Linked DNA regions of Caenorhabditis elegans. The protein of the gene in region 1 purifies or fractionates together with the protein of each later gene. This does not show direct contact. Each region holds a gene or a part of one and is shown in the gene's direction. Other genes may lie near its edges.

Region 1 (4,922 bases):
AGTAAAGCAATTGGGGTACAAATCCAGTAGGGAAAATATGGTAGACTTGTTAACTTGAAATTAGTCTTCAGTTTATGTACTATAGGACTAAACTTATTTGTATTTATTTTTTTTTAACTTGAGGGAATAGTTTTCCTTGACATGCATACTTAATAAAGCGGTGAATTGAATTTATATGAATAACATTGTTGTACTAGTTGTTACTTTGATGCTACTTTTGCAAATTGACAAAATATCATGATATCTCGGAAAATATGCGAACTACATATTTGGCAAATTTATTACTCATCGGGTAAGAAAATCGGAGAAAACATATCTGATGTCTATCAACTGATCTAAATGAATAGAAAAATGATTGTTCCCAATTGAATCAGTCTAGATCAGGAACTTTTGAAACATATATACAGTTATATGCCCTAAAAATGAACAACTTTCCCCGTCAACAGACACAATATTTTTCTCTTTTTCTGGTCTCCATGTCCTATTTCATGAGTCAAGTGTTGTAGAGGGCGACGATAAGACATCGGGCCCAAACGCATTAACGAATCATCTTGCGGGTCGGGAGGCGGGATCTGTCAAAAGTTTGCAGCGTTTGGCAAAGGTTCGAGGCTGGCAATGAAGATGCAAGGATGGTGGACGGCTACCTGCAGATGACAGTCTATCGGAGACGCAGACTAATCAGATGACATTAGTCTTTTGAAAGTTTTGCGGAAGTCCAATTCGGCGAACACAGGTCGCGTGTGAATCGATGCTCGTAGACCGAGTAGCAATTGACAGCTAGAGATTGACAATTTATGAAGAGACGCAGACAGATGTGAACATAGAAACGACAAAAGACATACATGTTTCGAATTAGATGGACAAGATCGGTTGCCTCTATATAAAGTAGCTCAACGTATTTTATCCAAAATTCTAAATCGGTCACTATCAATCTAGCAATTCTAAAATGTTTTTGTTTCTGATTTTCCGCAATTCCATCGAAGTTACAATTTTGACTTAAAATTTTCTATCACAAATCATGTACCAATGTGTGCACTTTTAAAAAAATTGTACAATGTATGTAGCAGTAATCAGAAGGGGATTGTTTTCCTATAAAATTCAAGAAAACCCAAAATTCTCACATTCCGAAAATCTTTTTTTTCTGACTTTTTTCCTTTTTGGTTCATCGAACATAAAAACATTTTGAAACAAATTTTTGAGGTGGTCTTTTCAAGTGGAAAGTAAATTCAAAATCTTTTATCATCAGATCGAATATGAAATTTCTGAGTTTTCTATTTTAAGAACTTTCAGTATCTATAGTATCCCTAGGCACATTTTTAAAACGTTTCATACAACTCCAGCTAAAGTTTTCTGAAAATACGGTTAGCCAAATTCACCACTTCATCCTGATAATTGTCATTATGCTTTTCCTTCCACTACAACTAGACTATCTCTTTTCGGAAGGGGGTGAGATTTTAATTGTTTGTCTGAGATTCCTACGTCTTCGACCAGCGTAACGATCAGAGAACATGCCGACATGACGTCTTCCCCCAGCCGAAAATGTCTCTCTTCTGATCTTGCCTTACATGTGAAGAAAAGTACCAAAAAATTGCTGTGATAACTTTGTGATTTGAGGCTGGGTTTTCAGTCTCAAAATTTGACATGTAGGTACGTTCATTTTTCCTTCAAGTTTCCCTCTTTTTTTTTCTCAAATATAAACCCTTTTCGGTGGTCACTTGATCTTTTCCTCTCCTCTCTACGTTTTTCATTTCTCTAATAACATATCTGGTAGAGATCTCTTAGAATGACAACACCCAATTTGCATATTACAAAATGATGATCACACTTTTTTTCCTTCTCAGAATCTAAAAATGGTACCTGACAAGTCATGCTTGGTTTGCAAAAAAGCTTCAAATGGAATGCATTTCGGTGCACTCACCTGCCGAGCGTGCGCCGCATTCTTTCGAAGGGCTACTGTACTGAAATTACAGTATAAATGTAAGCAGGGGAATTCAAAATGCAATATTGATGGTCGTGGAAGGTGAGTTACTATAGTCTTCAAAATCAGAAAATTCACGTTTTGTTTATAGATATGTCTGCCGGCAGTGTCGTCTGACAAAGTGCAAAGCAATCGGGATGAATGAAGAGAGTATGTTTTTTTTTCCAAAAAAATAAAAACTTGCAAGATTTTCAAGTGCATATCGTGCACATCAAAAAATTTTACATCAAAAGTTTTTGTGAAAAATTGTTGCGAAAATTGGTTTGACAAATTTTCAAAAACTTCATGTGAATAGGTTTTGTGGAATACGCAGAAAAATAATTTTTTCTGAAAAATAAAAAATCCTAACAAAATTTCTAGATCATCTCTATGTTTGATTTTTACTCTTTAGGCTTAGAAAGGATTTTTTCCGAAGTCCGAAAATTACAAAAATATTCCAAAGGTTTTTTTTATAGCTTAAATAATTTCAAAATGAGGGCATTAAATACAAAAGTGCCCTATTTCCTTTTTTTACATAATGTTGAATTTTGAAAATTGCTAAAAATCACCACTCATTTTTGCTAGTGGTGAAATAACTAAATCCTTTCCAAAACACAAATAAAATTTCAATTACTGTCAAAAATTTTGCTGCCATTCTTTTGGAATTTAACCAAAAGCGTTTTTTTCTGCAAATTTTACAGAGTCCAATTATTTTTCTCTTCTTTTTTTCTCTTCTTTTTCTAGTAAAATATACTCATTTTTCAGAAGTTCAATTGGACTATGACCCAACGTACTCGTTTCGCGGTTTGATGGAGGATAGTGGAAGTGTGAGTTTTGTTTTTTAAATTAAAAACAATTATTTTATTTACTACATTTCAGGACGAATTCTCTACGCCAAATGGAAGCCCAGCTCAATCTGATTACAGCCCGACCAACTTGAGCCGGAAGAACTCGGTGGAGTCACCTGGAATTGATCCGAACTTTTTGTTCACCTTCTCGCCAAAAACACCGGATAAGCCGAACATGGTTATCAGTTTTAATGACTTGGTGAAGAAAATTGAAACGTCATTTTCGGTAAGTTGAAGCGAAAAACATTGAAAGTGAAAATTTTGTTATTTTATGTTCAGCATAAAACAAAAGGCGACGATTGTGAACTGACTACTTTGACGTCTGCATTGAAAAAGTTTAGGAAAAATCAAAAAGCTCAAAGTCAAATCTCTTTTCTTGACAAAGTCGAGCTGAAATCTGCTATTGATTGGCTCAATGATCGAATCTATATGTACTCTTGTTGGTTTTCCTCTTCAAAATCTTTAATGTCTCTACCCATGGATCAAAAAATGCAGCTCTTCCGATCTTCTTGGAATGTCGTTAGAACATTTGAGCGCCTAGAAATGTCTGTCAAGATTTTTGAAGAAGGAGTCATTCGAGGAGGAGTGAGAATAGTTTTTAATTATTTTTAAAAATATCAACTGTTTTTCAGTATATACTTATCAATGATGATCTCGCAATGAAATTGGAATCAACTCATATTGACTTTGCCTCGATAACTGATCTCACGAATCAATATTTCAACAAGTGAGTTTTCTGTTTCAAAAACTTTGAAATGCCCACAATTCGCTGATTGAAATTTGTCAATGTTCTGAAAAGCCTACTCAAAGTTGCGTTGGTTTTAGGATCACATTTTGATACAGCATTTTCTTTACTATAAAATTAATTGAAATACTGAAAATTCAACAAAACAATTTTTGCCGCTATGTCGAGAAAGATATAATGATGAAAAATCTTTGAACATTTTTATATTTGTATTTTTGTAATTTTCAGACTATTCGAACCCTTCCTACACCGTTACATAGATGAAGTTGCAAGGCCACTTCTTGATCTCAAGCCAACTACGGAAGAAGTCGTTTTTTGTATGGTTCACCTTATTGGACTTGAAGGTAAAAAAAAAAAACATCAATCAAATTTTTATTAACTTTAATTTTAGAAGGTGATCTTTCTCATGAAACACGAGAAGCTTGCGAACAAATGCGAGCAGAAATTGCTGACCAAATGCACGTTTATTATACAAATCGGACGGATATCAAAATGTATTCTCATCGGCTTCTGATTCTTATGAAACTGGTCAAATCCATGAAGGTTTGCCAAATTTTTTTTTAAGTTTTCTGATTTTCCCCCTATTTTTAGAGAATCTCTCGTGAGAAATCAAAGATCAAGGAGCTCTTCTGGCTTTTTGACATCTTTCATGCCGAAATCTCGGAGCCGTATTTTTTCGAGATGTTTTAGAAAATGATGGGAACCCAAATCAAGAAAATGCTCACACAACCAGTCATGATAATTTCATAATTCATTTTTACGTACGAGTTTTACAATACGAGTTGTTTCTTTTTGAAAATCAAACAAGTTCACATAAAATATTTTTTGATAATATCGTTGACAAGCACACTTCTTGGAATTTGCAAGTGATCTCCATCCACGTCCATAAAATGGATTCGTCCACTCTCATGAAGCTTCTTCAATCCAATACGATCCTCTTTGTACAGGTCGGTTTCGTTCATTGGGAGAATTGTGTCAATATCACCGTCTTTGTAGAACCCGAACCACTGGAATAAATTATTGAGACTTTATAAAATATTTCAGCGTGAGAACCGTGACAGGTGGTACAAAATGTCTGTTGCCTGTGTGGCTCTTTGTACCCATTAGAATGAGAATACTCGGGAAAACTCCGGCCTGCATTAACAAGCTTTTGGCGACCCTCGCCTATAGGCGACTATAGTCTACTTTCGGAAACTGCAAAACAAAAAAAACCACTCACAGATGAATCCTTTGGTACAACCATATGATCTTGATTGAATTTCACCAGAACCAGGTTTTTGAGACTCAATAAGTTGCGTTTGTAAGTCGGGTTGTTATTCTGAAACAAAAATACTTTTTTTTTCAATTATTTTAATGATTACGATTTTCTAAC
Region 2 (7,458 bases), on another chromosome or scaffold:
TTTAACTGGATTACTGCTACTTCCGAAAGCTTGAGCATACGTTGCAACACCAGTTGCTGCTGGAGCAGTTGAGCGACGCTGAAGAATTTCCGTTAAAGTTCTGAAGCGTCTTTAAAGTGAAATTGTCATACCTCAATAAACGGCGTCAGTAAATCATTTTGATGAGTTCTCTGCGGAACTTGCGATGCAAAAAGATCAACTACAGGCGCAGCCGGTTCATTTTTGACGGAAGTTTTCAGTATCGATGACCTTTTGGGTTTTCTCTCATGAACACTGACAGTTGAAGGGCGTTTTGTCGAATTACGCGTTCTAAAAGTAAATAAAATTCAATTAATTGAAGCAATGTAACAAACTCACGGAGAAGCTTCTTTGCTGTAGTCGTGGAATATATCCAATTCTGGAGAGTTTGAATTTTCCCTGAATTTACTGGGAAAATATGAAAAAAAGTTCTGCGTTCGGGGGGAATCGAACCCCCGTCGAATGCTTGGAAGGCATCCATGCTGACCATTACACCACGAACGCGGCATGGGAAACCAGCTATTAAATGAAGAGACATTTCTACTTGAAGCCACCAAATAGACCGCATCAGGTTTGTAGAAGAAGCATGACGGGAATCGTTTTCTCGGAAAGATATCCCCGATATGTCGCGTTCGTGGTGTAATGGTCAGCATGGATGCCTTCCAAGCATTCGACGGGGGTTCGATTCCCCCCGAACGCAGATTTTTTCGACTTACCGGTTTTCATCTTTACACATCAAATCATCATCCTCTTCACCAAGTTGTCCCATCTCGTCTGGCATATGAGCTTGCGTCTCCAGGAATTTCTCTACGGCATCAGCTGGAGTTTTTTCTTTGTTAAAAATGTTTTGTGTACAGGCAAACTCTGCTTGAGTTAGAGATGTTGTTCCGACCTAAATGAGAATTTAATTTTCGAGCTTTTCACCATTGACTTACTTTCTGTAAAAGGTCGTTTAGTTCAGACAAAGTATCAAAGCACGTTTTCAGCATATGAGCTTCTGTGATTTTGGATGTGTCTAGTGGGAAAGCACAACTCGGACACATGTGTCGAGCCACTGAAGAGCGTTTTCCAGACGGTTTCTGTTGAAATGTGGCGATACATTCCCTGAACATAAACTGAAGTTATTGACAATTTATTAGGTTGCAATACCTACCAGCAATAAGCATGTTTGCAAGATGATCCGAGATATTGCAAGTCTCCCCTCGGTTTTTTGCTGAAATTTTATTTAAGAGGCAAAATCTTGTACAACAACTTACCATTTAACACACTCGATAGCTGTTCGAAACGTTTCCAATGCTTTTTTAGTGTTTTCAAACATTATTTGACGCTGAAACAATAATTAAATCAAACAGGAAAAGAATAAAATTCGAAAATCGCACTTGTTTGTTTGCGCGTCAGGTGTGGTGCGTGCGCACAGAATACATTTTATTTTACGAACAAAATATTTTACTTCTATTTCTTTTTCTTTCATTAAACTAAAATTACATTTATTTTTTGTGTTTTATAGAAAAATACAGTTTACTTGGTCTGGAAAATTCACGAGAATGATCCTCTCGTCAATTTATTCTCTTTTTAATTATAATTTTAAGTTTTAAGCATGAGACCGCCAAGTGAATTACTCGATATTATTTCAAAGCTTGCTGAGCTCGATCCATTAGTCAGAAAAGGAGCAGTTAGACAGCTTTCAAGCAAACAAGAGGTAGGAAAAAAGTAGCTGAAATAAATGCCTAATTAAAGTGTTATTTTTTTAGGAATTATCCGATAACGAGCTCAACACATATGTGATTGAACGTCTTATTTCTGGATGTGCTTCAGCTCGTGCTGCTGTTCGTTTGGGATATACAACCGCTTTGGGTACTATTTTAATGACAAAAGCAGGCGAATCATGGGAACTCGACAAAATATTGGCCGTTGCAGATAAAAAGATGGACCTGGCAGAAAAGGTTGGGATTGTAAGTTCCTTTATTTGTACTAAATGTTTCGATTCAGACTGTTGGTACCGGACATGCAATTGGACATTATCTTATTCTTGTCACATATTGTCAAACCAGAAAACTCAAAGAAGCAGAAGCTACAAAAATTGTTGAGCATTCGAAGAAAATCAGAGACTTTGCTCCAAGCTTGGCATTTTCACAGATTAACCTTCTATGCAGTTTGGCTACAAAGACAAAAGAAAGTGTTTTCCAAAAGGTAAATCAATTTACTGTTTGAACAAAAACAAATCTATATTAATTTTTAAATTTCAGAGTGTATCCCCAGCCATCGAAATGAATTTGGAAGGTCTCAGCTCTCAGTTCACACCGGAAAATGTCTACCTGGCACTTCGCCTTCGTAATTCTCATTCAACAGTGGTTGCAAAATACGCAAAGTTTGTAAAGAAAGACGGATCTATTCAATTTTCTGATGATCAGTATCCTAAAATTTTGGCTGCTTTAAAGGTTAGTTTTCTATTTTAAAATTTTTATAAATACTTTATTTTCAGCGCTGTGACTTCGCCACAGTTCAAGTATTTCTTCCACTTCTCATCAAAGCATCAGTTGAATCATCTGGTTTTGATAAAATGTACCTGAGTAAGTTATACTTTTGAAAAGTTTTTTTTATAAATTCTCATTTTCAGAAGTTCTCGAGCCATGGGCCCTTTCAAGCAACGAGACGAAAGTTTTCGATAGAATTCTCACGATTGTCACTCAATTCTTTGATTTTGGAGGCGATGTGAAATCAATTGTTGTAGTATTTACTAAAGAAGTTTTGAATCGAATGGAGACCGCTACACGTGGAAAAGGACAATTCAGATTGATGAGTAAAAAGGTAATATTCAAGAGTCTTTATTGTTCAAATTTACAAAAATTAGTGAGATAGAAATTATCTAAAGGTAAACTGGCTTTTGTGATCGAATATGTCTCTGAATTTGTTTGATTGCTTTTCGGAGAAGAGCCTGGCAATCTTCCGGTACTGAAAAAAGATTTTTTAAAACTCAAGCTTTCTTCTAAACATCGAAAACATACATTTCTTGCATTGTTGTGTAAGTTCCTCATTTTCCACACAATATTCGGATGTTATTTCACACTCGATAGAACATAAATCGAGTACAGGAAGCCAGACAGCATCAGAAAATGGATCACCGCCTGTAAAAAAAGTGTTGGAACAATATTTAATTTCTTGTATCTTAAAAATGTATGCTGGTAAATTATGAAGAATTAATTCAGAAATCGTTTACAACATTTCTGAAATATACTATAAGATTATTCTTTTGTGTTATTACATAATACAGATTAAATTTGAATTTAAATTGATTTTCTAACTTACATAATTTAGAGTTATGAAACAAAAACTGTGAAACCGATTCGTACTGAATCCGCCTTTTAGACGCTTGTCCATTGATTGCCGCGATCAGAAAAATTCCGATAATAATTGAGCATTTTGTCATTTTGAGTTCCAAATTTAGTATTGCCAAAGTGATGAAAAACTAATACGTAGTTCAACAAAAAGATGAGAAATAGATGAAAGAAAGAAGAAAAAGAAGAAGCATTGTTCATTGAATACCACAATGAACTGTGTAAAGTAACGGGATTCTGGGTGTAATACAGATAGTTCTTTCTATAAGATGATGACACATTAACGACGACCTCATTATATCCATACATATTGTTTTATTTGGATTACGAGTTAGATTTAGAATGTTAGATTTATGAGAGATTGCAGCGATATTTGAGAGACAGGAATGTTGAAAATTGATTATCATTCGAACTTTTTAACACGAAAATATTGAATAATATTATTAAAAGTATACATTCGAACAAAGATTTTAAACTAAAGAAAATTTCGATACTGGCTTAGCTAGGAAATTAAATTTACTTTTAACAACAAAAAAAAAACACATTTCAAAATAATATCTTCATTTTACAGGTGGATGACTTCGCTGCATTCATCCAATCCAAACTTTCTGAACTTCGTGATGAAGAAGCCTATACTGCTCTGAAAGAGCTCGAAAAGTGCGGAAATGTGGACAAGGCCTGTGGTACCGGCCTTACGACCGCCCTACTTTCAAATCTTGGAAAGAAGCAGATCTCTGTGTGGATTAAGGTAGAAAAAGAACTGACGGTTCAATTTCAGCATATAGATTTTTCAGGAAAATCTCTCCAACCAAGATGAAGTTCGGAAGATCGTCTCTGCATTCAGTAACTGGGATGAAAAATCACGAATCACAGTTCTCTCTGCTCTTTTGTCGCAGAAGGCAACTGAAACCAGTCAATCTGTTGTTACCAGCATTATTGATTCACTTTTCTATGTCAAGGTTTGTTCATTGTTTGTTTGAAGTTGAAGTAAAAAATTATTCCAGACTCGTGCTGGAGAGTTCGCATCGATTCAAATTTCTGAGAAAAACGAAGAGGTTCTCCGTCAACTTGTTGTTGCTGTTCAAGGAGAAGAAGAAGTAAAGAAAGCTGAGAAATCGATTGGAAAATCCAAACTTCGCAAGAAGTGAGAATTTAATATTAATTCATTTTCAAAGTTAATTTTTTTCAGGTCCCTTCAAATTCTATGGTATGTCACCCGCTTGTGGTCTCGAATCGCCGCGAGCTCTGTAGATTCTGCCGCCTACGATTCGGATAGCTCAGAAATCTTGGCAATCGCCAAAAACGAAGCAGATGGAAATAACTCACTGGTCTTTGTCGATCTTCTTCTTTCAATTCTGTCCCGCGAGCAAAAGTTCCATCGTACTCCAACTGCATTCGCTTTTGTTCATGCTATTCCTACATTGGAATCTAAAGATTTGTGTCATATTGTTGAGGTAAATTGGTTTTTGAAAAATCTAAATGTCTGAAAAATTTTATTTTGAAATTTCAGACTGCAATGATGAGTGAGGCTGAATTGGCTGGAAACGATGATGAGGATATGGAAGACGAGGAAGGAATGCCATTTGATGAATCTGAAATTCCATCTGGAAATGGAGACGATGAAGCAAGTGATTCGGATGATGATGATGAGGAAGAGGATGATGATGAAGGAAATGAGGTACATTCATTTTTCGTTTTGTAAATTTTACAATAAATATTTTTAGGCAGTTGATCAAGAACTTCTTGATAAATTGAATGCTGCTCTTGGAGATGCTGCTCCGAGAGATTCTAGCAGTGACGTGGAAATGGATGATTTAGATGATGAAGCAATGCAGAAAATGGATGAGAGACTCGCTGCCGCATTCAAAGCAATTGCTCCAAAAGCTGGAAAAGATAAGAAGCGTAGTGCAAAGAGTGTAGAAGCTCTGAAAATGAAAATTGCCGACCTTTTGCTCATCGCAATTTCATCAAAGGAGCTTGCTGAACAGAGCAAAATTGTAAGATTGGTATATAAGAGTTTCTAAGAATATTACTTAAATTTATTTCAGAAACTTGTCGTTCCACTCTTGAAATGGGCTAAAGTCGACGCAAAAACTCACGACAAGGTTGCTCAAAAAGTGTTAGAACTTGTAAACATTGTTGTGAAGATGAAGGTGAGAGCATATTTCAGTTGTGAAAAAATAGTTCTTAACAAATAATTTCAGTTTACTGATGTTTCCGAGAAAGATGCTCTTCAACTTCTGAAACAAGTTCTCGATGAGGCGCAGACAACTACAAATATTCTGATTATTGATACAGTAGCACGATGTGTCACTTTTGTGCTCAAGATTAGTTCTCGCGATGGAAAATCGATGTCAGCTGGTGTCAAAACAGAATTCCAATCACTTTTTGAAAATTATCTGAAGAATGTGGAAGGAAAGGTTCCATCGAATTTTGTCATTCAGCCAATCGCCGATCTTCCATTGCTGTTTGTTGATCAACTTGGAATGCTCATTGATGCCGGATTTGATGAGGAGAATCGAATTTTCAAAAGAGTACGTATTAAAAACACATTTTTATTTAATTTCTGTAAAATTTAGACTGAAATTCTCGGAGCCATTGCGATGATTTTCACGAAGCAAGTGCTCCAGGAGACGAATATCAAGGGTGCGATTATCAAGAAAATTGGAAAATTGGCCGCTGCTTACTTCCAGAAAGTTGTTGATTCTGATAAATCGGAGGTATGGCTTTCAAATATTAAAAAAAATTACCTGAATCACGGTACCCGAGCTAAATACTTTTCGCTTCTTTCGTTTTTTTTTTTGGCGAAAAATTAATTTTTCACTTTTTATTGAAAAAATAGCAAAAAACATCAACAAAAAATTGTTGAACGGTCAAAAAAAACTTTTTACGTAAAACTTTAAACGTTTTTTTTTTAAATTATAAACATGTTTCCAAAAAATTAACATCGAAATTTTAAGTATATTGCTTTATGGTTAAAACAATTAAAATTTCATTCGTTGTCGAAAAAAACCAACTTTTTGCTTTCTTCATTTTTCGGTTTCGAAAAAAATGTGTATTTTTTGGACTTTGACAATGCCAAAAGGAAAAACCAAACAAAGTATATAACTTTTGTAAATTTTCATCTTTTTCAGCTCAAACCACGCCTATTCGGAACTGTCCTTCAACTCATTCTCAAGGTCACAGTTTGCATTCAAAACGACGAGAAACACGTGGATGCACTCCGCGAATCTCTCGAATATGTCATTCAGAAGATGTTTGAAGGTGAAGTTTTCATTCAACTGAAAAAGATCAACCCGACCTGCCATCACGTAAGTTTTCAAATTGAACAGGCAGAATTTAAGTGCAATATTTCAGATCATCGGAAAGTCTATCGCTGGTGCATTCACCTCTATCAAGAAGAGCTTGGATATTGAAAATTAATATTTTTAGACAAAAAAATGCTCCCTCCACATTGTTATCTCATTTGTTGTTGTTGTTTTTTAATTGTTTTAATCAATTCCCTCTGTTCCCCTTGAAATGTTCTTCCAATTGTTGAATTTTAATGTTTTTTATTCAATTGAAATTGTTTTTTTTGAAGATTTAGTTCTTCCCAAATGACACAGCGAAGAAAACCTAAATGTTTCGAGGACTTTTGAAAATCCGTTTTTTCCTCCGATCAGTTTCCTCAATGATCAGCACACTGCGTCGCCACGATCTACACAGTCTCTAACTTTTGTTCTTTCTGCAAAAGTTACACTGATAAGAAACTCGTTGATGAAAGATAGTCTGTGTCTCATGCTCTCTCTTCAATGAGACGATTTTCGAAAGACACTTTCTCTGCGTCTCTTCGTCTTATATGATTTCTAGAAGCTAAATGTCTATCAAAGTCGTATCAGTTGTTTTCGGTCACTTTTTGAAAGTTTTTGAGAGACAGATCAAACGACGCAGAAGTTCTCTCAAAAGTTGGTGAAATAACGTGGAAGAATGAGAGAGTGGGAAAAGAAACAGGAATCATTGAACATTTCCGAGAAGATTACGGTAGAAGCTTCCGAACAAAGTTTGAATAAAGATGAATCTTTTTGATTGTCTTTTTTTAGCCATTAAAAAATGAATTATCCAGATT
Region 3 (6,523 bases), on another chromosome or scaffold:
CGAAAACGGAAGAAGCACAAGAAGCACAAAAAAGAGAAAAAGTCAAAGAAGGAGAAGAGAGATGAGGATGAGGATGATCTTGATACCGAAAAGAAAGAAAAAAAGAAGGAAAGAAAGTATCAGGATGATAAAGATGAGGATTCTAATAGAAAAGAGCCAAGATCTCTAGATGATGAGGACAAAGTGGAGTTGGACAAAAATTTTGCTGACAAAAAAGAAAAGAAGAAAGGAAAATGGAATGAGGATGAAGAGGACATCTTCGAGGATAGAAAAGAGGAGCTTCCTAAGGAATCCGATCGGAGAGACAGGAAAGACCGTAGACATGATGATGAGGATGATCGTAAGGAACGTCGGCATGAAAGAGATTCTCAAAAAATTGATGAGCAAGATAGAAAGAAAGAGAGAAAGCGAGATCGAGAGACCGAGGCATATGACAGTGATGTAAGTTTTGGTTTATTCTTATTTTTAGATTAGTTGTTTTAATTGTTGATTGTTTTGAGGAAAAATTTAGCAATCAGAAATCATCTTCCGGGTTTAGGAAAAATGAACAAATTTTTATAGAAATTGCAGGCCCCCAAGACAAAGGTGAAGCGTGAAGACAAGAAGCGTGACGATCGGAAAGATTATGAACGGGACAGGGAACGCAGGAAGGATGACTATGAAAAGGAGAAGAGTAAAAGAAAGGAGAGTGATCGGGATAATGAAAAAGAGAAACAACGCGAGAAGGAAGTGGAAAAGGAACACGAGAAGGATCGCAAAGAGAAGCGGAAAATCGTTGAGAAAGAGTCTGAGAAACCACGAAAATCGGTTCATGAGCGTATGCAGAAAGCTGACTCATCCACTTCTTCAAGCTCTAGAACTACTACTGCTCCATCACTTGAACGAAAACCTGTCTCGTTTACTGTTGCTTCGAGCAAACCAACGACAAACATCAGAGTTCGTCAATACTCGTCCTCATCATCAACCAAGGAACAAGAAGATGAAGAAGTACGTTTTATTCACAAATATTTCACTAAAATTCAATTAATCAAAAAATATATAATTTAAAAATTTTAGCGGTCGAAGCGGGATCGCCGGAAGAAGGACGAAACTGACGTGGAGAGCATTGGGGAAAAGGAGAAGGTAATTTTTGTTGTTTTTGAAGAATTTTAATCTTAGATATTTCAGAAATCTTCGTCTCGAAAAGTTCCAAAGGAGAGTGTAGATGTCAAACACAAGAGTACCAAGATTAAATTTGATCTTTTGTAATCATTTTTGTATCTATATTTGAGTTATTAATTATGTTCCATCCTATTATTCGTTTTTCTCATATTCCCCCCTATTTTTCTAGTTCTTCTTAGAGGGAACCACATCTACTGTGACTTTGATTCTCTTTTTTCACCATTATTTTTTTTTTCTAAAAACGCTTCCATTTTTATTCATTTTTCGTCCCATCTGTGGAATTATTCTGTTTTTTTTTCACTTTTCTTGTTCCTGTTGGAATAAAAATTCCGTTTTATTTTTACTCTATTTTTACCTTTTTTCTTATTTTTATCCCAAAATTTCTCGGTCCTGAATTTGCCGCAAATAATATCAGAATGGCTAATTTTACAGATTCGATTTCAAAAAAAGCGCCGAAATTAACCTTTTGGTAATAAAATCGAAAATTGAAAAAAAAGTTTTGGAGAGAATGCGTACATATGTATTTTAGATGATGAACACAAAATTGTTGAAAAATTTTACTTTTAAATAACATTTAATAATTCAATAACAGTCGAATTTGATATCTTAATTGAAAAGATATAAATATTCTTTTCCAGATGGATATTAAATTTGAAGGAAACGATGCCGAGTGCACAGCTGGCCTGAAAAAGGCCAGTGAAGGAAGTTTTGTATTGAAAGATCACGTTCTGATAGAATTCAAAATCAACGGAAAAGTGGCGGGAAAGATAAAGACACCATGTGAGGGTGTAGTTACTTTTGGAAAAGGTCTTAAACCAGGAATCGTATTGAATAAGGTAAATTGAAATTATTTATTCAATTGAAACTGTTTTCATTTTCAGGGTCAAGTGATTGCTACAGTATCCGAATGTACTCATGCAATTGTTATCAAAGATATGTGTGCAACATGTGGTAAAGATCTACGTGAAAAGGGAGGACGAGCCGGTCAGAGAAAGGAACAATCAACGGCTAATGTATCTATGATTCATCATGTTCCAGAACTTATTGTGTCGGATACGGTTAGCATCATTTTTATTACCCGGATGCGGCGATTTTTTCAATAAAAATACGGTAACCGGTCTCGCAAAACGTTGTGCGCCTTTAAATAGCTAATGCAGAATTTTCATCGTTTTTCGAAAGTTAATTAAAACTTTAAAATAAAGCAAGTTTAAACTATTTTTAAGTAAAGTATACGATTTTGAGAAAAATAGAAAACTTCATGAAAATCCCATAATATTACAGTTCTTTTTAAAGACGAACATATTTTTGCATTTATCAAAAATTGTCGTGTTGAGACCGTGAACCGCATTTTTGGCTCAAAAATTCGCCTACTAGGCAAATAATATTTCGATAAAAAACTTTTTTTTCAGCTAGCAAAAGAGATTGGATCAGCCGATGAAAACAATCTGATCACCAATAGAAAACTCGTATTGCTTGTTGATTTGGATCAGACAATTATTCACACTTCCGACAAACCAATGACTGTGGATACTGAAAATGTAAGAATCAATAGTTTTGACGAAAAAAAAGTTTTTTTTCAGTTTTTCTCAGAGAAAACTGAAAAATTGAAAAAAAATGTTCCGAAAATTAGCAAAAAATTAAAACACAAATTTAACGAATTTTGGTCGTGTCGATGAAAACAAATAATTTCAAACAACCATATAATTTTCTTCTAGAAAAAAAATGGCCAAAATGTAAAGCCATTTTTCGAAAAAAAAAACACTTTTCAGAAAATTAATAAAGATTTCAAAAAAAATTTCTCATCGAGCTTCTATGTAAATGATAAAGTTAGAAAAGCATAATTTTCTTATCGTAATAAGAAAAATCGACAAAAACTTTAAATTATTTTCCGAGAAACCTTTTTTCTAATTTAATTTTGGTACAAAAAAATTGTGTTTTTTGATTTTCTAAAATTATCGAAAAATTGTCACTCTTGATAGGAATACTCATATATTTTCTATAAATTTCAGCACAAAGACATCACCAAATATAACCTTCACTCTCGTGTTTATACCACTAAACTCCGACCACATACAACAGAATTCTTGAATAAAATGTCAAATATGTATGAAATGCACATTGTTACCTATGGACAACGTCAATATGCTCATCGTATTGCTCAGATTCTTGATCCAGATGCTCGACTCTTTGAACAACGCATTTTGTCTCGAGATGAACTATTCTCGGCTCAACACAAGACCAATAATTTGAAGGTATAATTTTTAAAAATTAAAAATAAAAATAATTTCAAACTCCAATGGAGTTTGCCCAAAATTCGCAAAAATCACGAAAAAAGCGAAAAACTAAAAACTATAATTTTAAAGTCATTTAAAAGTTTTTTACAAATTCTTCGTTTTTTTGCTCTTTAATATAAAAAAACGGAAAGTACATTTTTTGTCAAAAAAAAACACCATTTTTTTTAAAGCGAAAAACAAGAAATCTTCAGCCCTGAAAACATGAAACTCGTAGAAAATATTAATCGATCAGAATTGTGATGAATGAAAAATGAGTTTTCATCAATTTTTCGACTGTTAATGAAAATTTCAAATTTTTAAAAAGTGTTACCATGAAATTTGGTTTTTTTTTAACATCATAGAATAAGTGTTAAACACAACAATTTTTATTCAGGCTCTATTCCCATGTGGCGACAATCTTGTAGTGATTATTGATGATCGATCAGATGTCTGGATGTATTCTGAAGCACTTATTCAAATCAAACCTTATCGATTCTTCAAAGAAGTCGGCGACATTAATGCTCCAAAAAACTCAAAAGAACAAATGCCAGTTCAAATTGAAGATGATGCTCATGAGGATAAGGTTCTTGAAGAAATTGAGCGAGTTTTAACGAATATTCATGATAAATATTATGAAAAGCACGATTTAAGAGGATCCGAGGAAGTGTTGCTTGATGTAAAGGTAAATTTTCATTTTAAATATTTAGTTATTGAATTATTATTCTAAGTTGAATATTTAAGTCTTTTGGACTTCTAGAAGTTGATTTTCAGGAAGTGATCAAAGAGGAACGACACAAAGTTCTTGATGGATGTGTCATTGTTTTTTCGGGAATCGTACCAATGGGTGAAAAGCTTGAAAGAACTGATATTTATCGTTTGTGTACTCAATTTGGAGCAGTTATTGTACCAGATGTGACTGATGATGTTACTCATGTTGTTGGAGCAAGATATGGAACACAGTTAGTTTTATCATTTTAGCATTTTAAAATTCTTTTATTTTCAGAAAAGTTTATCAAGCCAATCGTCTCAATAAGTTTGTGGTCACAGTTCAATGGGTATATGCTTGTGTCGAAAAGTGGCTTAAAGCAGATGAAAATCTGTTTCAACTAACAAAAGAAAGTACTCCTCCAGTTGGACGTCCACTTGGATCAAAGTATGTCAATGATTTGGCAAATATGGACACAATTGGGAAAGCCGCGTTAGCTGATATGAATAATGAAGTAGATGAAGCTCTATCGGATGATGAAGACGATGGAGACAATGAGGATGAGGATGATGATGGGAATGATGTTGGAGAAGATAAGGGAGATGAAAATTTAGAAGAGAAACAAGAGAAAAATGAAGAAGAAATGGATGATGTTGAGCAGAATGGATCTGTTGAGAATCAATCAGGAGATGCTTTGGAAAACGAGACAGATTCTACATCAAGGGGACAGAAAAGAAAGCATTGTCCTGAAATGGAGGACGAGGAAGAGGTAAGAAACTTGAAAATAATTTATTCCAATAATATTTATTTCAGGAATCAGATTCTGATAATGAGGATGACGATACCCCTATGTCGTACAAAGCACTTTTGTCAGATTCACGCAAAAAAGGTCGAATTGTTCCAGAAAACGAGGATGATGCAGTATTTGATGTTGATGATGAGGTAAAAAGGGCGGCAAGTATAAAAAATTGAAAATAAAACGGAAAGTTTTGAATTTATAGTGGCTAAAATTAATAGTAGTGAATTTTTTGAAAAAAGTTAAATTTTGGCTTCTTGAGCTTAAAAATATCAATCCAAATCGTTCCAGTGTCTAGAATTTATCGAAAAATACGACATTTTATCGATATTAAACAAAAATTCAAAGAAACACGTGAATCATTATTCCTGCTTGGGAGATCAAAAGTGTTTTGAAAAAAAAAGACTTTTACAGAAAGGCCACGCACCAGCTAATATAGATGAAGAAGAAGATGACGAAGACAATGAAGATGAGGAAGTACCGGAATCTGATGATGACGATGAGTTCGAGGATATGGCTGCATTGATCGAACGTCAGATTAGCGATGCAGTAGATGAAAAAGATCAATGAGTTTTCTGTGAAATCATCATGTGCTATTATTGTTTTCATTTCCTATTATTCTTTCAGTTGTTTCCCATCTTTTACATCTCATAATTATCACCCCCGTTCCCCATTTGATTCGATACTCAATGTTTTCTGTACTATTTACCTCCATTTAAATGGGAATAATCTGACAATTAATGTCGGCTGCTTGATCAGAGTGATTTTCATCAAATCAATCAAAACTTCACTAGAAGCCTGCATTTTTGTCATATATAAACGTTCACGGTTTGGAATATAGATTGCTTTTTATTCACTTATCTTTTGCCTTTTGATTGTAAATTCAAGAAAAGTCTGTCACTATGGAGTTATTCATCTTTCGATTGCTTACTTAAATACCTCTATTTTCATTTTATCGAATTAATTTTTTTTTCTAAATCGCGTCATTGTCTCATTTCTTCTCTCGTTTCACGTTGATCGTTATTATTTTTTTCTGAAAATGAATGAGATTCATTTCTATTTTTCTTGCTGACGCTTTCGCAATGCCGTTTGATTCGGAAGTATGATTTATTTTTTTCGAATTATAGGATTAATGTATAGTATTTGTTACGCGAGACCAAAAAAAGTTTCATGTAACAAATGTAGTACAATGTTTACATTTCCACAAAAATCAATAATTTACAATTTGTATACAATTCAATGTGGTCTTATATTACACAATCAATCGTTTCAACAACACGTTTTGCCGAACTGGATTTTTATCGATCTTTTACTATTTCCTTATTATTAAAAGTTATTAAAAGCTATATATTCGCAAAAAGTTTTGAAAAAAATTGGTAGAGTGATTAGCTATTGAAAAAACTTATTTCATTTCCTTTTAGTGACTAGTTTATTTACCATTGCAGTGAAAGTTTATGAAAAAAGTATTTACTTTTCTCTTTTGAAAAGAAATATTTTCTCGCATTTTTTGTCTATAGAGCATTTTTGCACACACGCGCACTAAGCGCCTTTTTTGTATGTATTTTCAGCGGTTTTTATCGATTTACT

The links. Proteins that work in one complex are often made in the same cells at the same time.
Region 2: the proteins of nhr-37 (region 1) and K04C2.2 fractionate together in Caenorhabditis elegans (co-fractionation; one large-scale study listed by BioGRID). This does not show direct contact.
Region 3: the proteins of nhr-37 (region 1) and fcp-1 fractionate together in Caenorhabditis elegans (co-fractionation; one large-scale study listed by BioGRID). This does not show direct contact.

Annotation. Positions count from the first base shown.
Region 1 is NC_003283.11:6,620,418-6,625,339, forward strand, and holds nhr-37 (Nuclear Hormone Receptor family), read left to right. Parts: upstream 1-1,776; 5' UTR 1,777-1,850; coding exon 1,851-2,020; intron 2,021-2,069; coding exon 2,070-2,128; intron 2,129-2,722; coding exon 2,723-2,784; intron 2,785-2,836; coding exon 2,837-3,031; exon of another isoform or gene 3,032-3,038; intron 3,039-3,084; coding exon 3,085-3,390; intron 3,391-3,437; coding exon 3,438-3,532; intron 3,533-3,778; coding exon 3,779-3,894; intron 3,895-3,941; coding exon 3,942-4,093; intron 4,094-4,141; coding exon 4,142-4,240; 3' UTR 4,241-4,359; downstream 4,360-4,922. Other genes in the region: ppt-1 (Palmitoyl-protein thioesterase 1), read right to left, coding at 4,360-4,557, 4,770-4,868.
Region 2 is NC_003281.10:6,888,160-6,895,617, forward strand, and holds K04C2.2 (DNA polymerase V), read left to right. Parts: upstream 1-1,614; 5' UTR 1,615-1,615; coding exon 1,616-1,717; intron 1,718-1,769; coding exon 1,770-1,961; intron 1,962-2,007; coding exon 2,008-2,208; intron 2,209-2,264; coding exon 2,265-2,456; intron 2,457-2,500; coding exon 2,501-2,588; intron 2,589-2,635; coding exon 2,636-2,826; intron 2,827-2,831; exon of another isoform or gene 2,832-2,884; coding exon of another isoform or gene 2,885-2,970; intron 2,971-3,023; coding exon of another isoform or gene 3,024-3,143; intron 3,144-3,324; coding exon of another isoform or gene 3,325-3,445; exon of another isoform or gene 3,446-3,501; intron 3,502-3,924; coding exon 3,925-4,101; intron 4,102-4,147; coding exon 4,148-4,312; intron 4,313-4,357; coding exon 4,358-4,497; intron 4,498-4,542; coding exon 4,543-4,807; intron 4,808-4,863; coding exon 4,864-5,031; intron 5,032-5,077; coding exon 5,078-5,350; intron 5,351-5,401; coding exon 5,402-5,506; intron 5,507-5,557; coding exon 5,558-5,887; intron 5,888-5,932; coding exon 5,933-6,073; intron 6,074-6,487; and 5 more. Other genes in the region: brd-1 (BRCA1-associated RING domain protein 1), read right to left, coding at 1-78, 132-309, 358-417, 735-910, 954-1,122, 1,172-1,231, 1,275-1,336; K04C2.5 (INSulin related), read right to left, coding at 2,885-2,970, 3,024-3,143, 3,325-3,445.
Region 3 is NC_003279.8:9,003,985-9,010,507, reverse strand, and holds fcp-1 (RNA polymerase II subunit A C-terminal domain phosphatase), read left to right. Parts: upstream 1-1,799; coding exon 1,800-1,997; intron 1,998-2,042; coding exon 2,043-2,219; intron 2,220-2,570; coding exon 2,571-2,699; intron 2,700-3,170; coding exon 3,171-3,413; intron 3,414-3,828; coding exon 3,829-4,116; intron 4,117-4,205; coding exon 4,206-4,393; intron 4,394-4,437; coding exon 4,438-4,909; intron 4,910-4,953; coding exon 4,954-5,082; intron 5,083-5,350; coding exon 5,351-5,506; 3' UTR 5,507-5,995; downstream 5,996-6,523. Other genes in the region: rbpl-1 (E3 ubiquitin-protein ligase RBBP6), read left to right, coding at 1-441, 562-987, 1,057-1,122, 1,168-1,248. UniProt on the Caenorhabditis elegans protein: During the late stages of oogenesis, dephosphorylates 'Ser-5' of the heptad repeats YSPTSPS in the C-terminal domain of the largest RNA polymerase II subunit ama-1.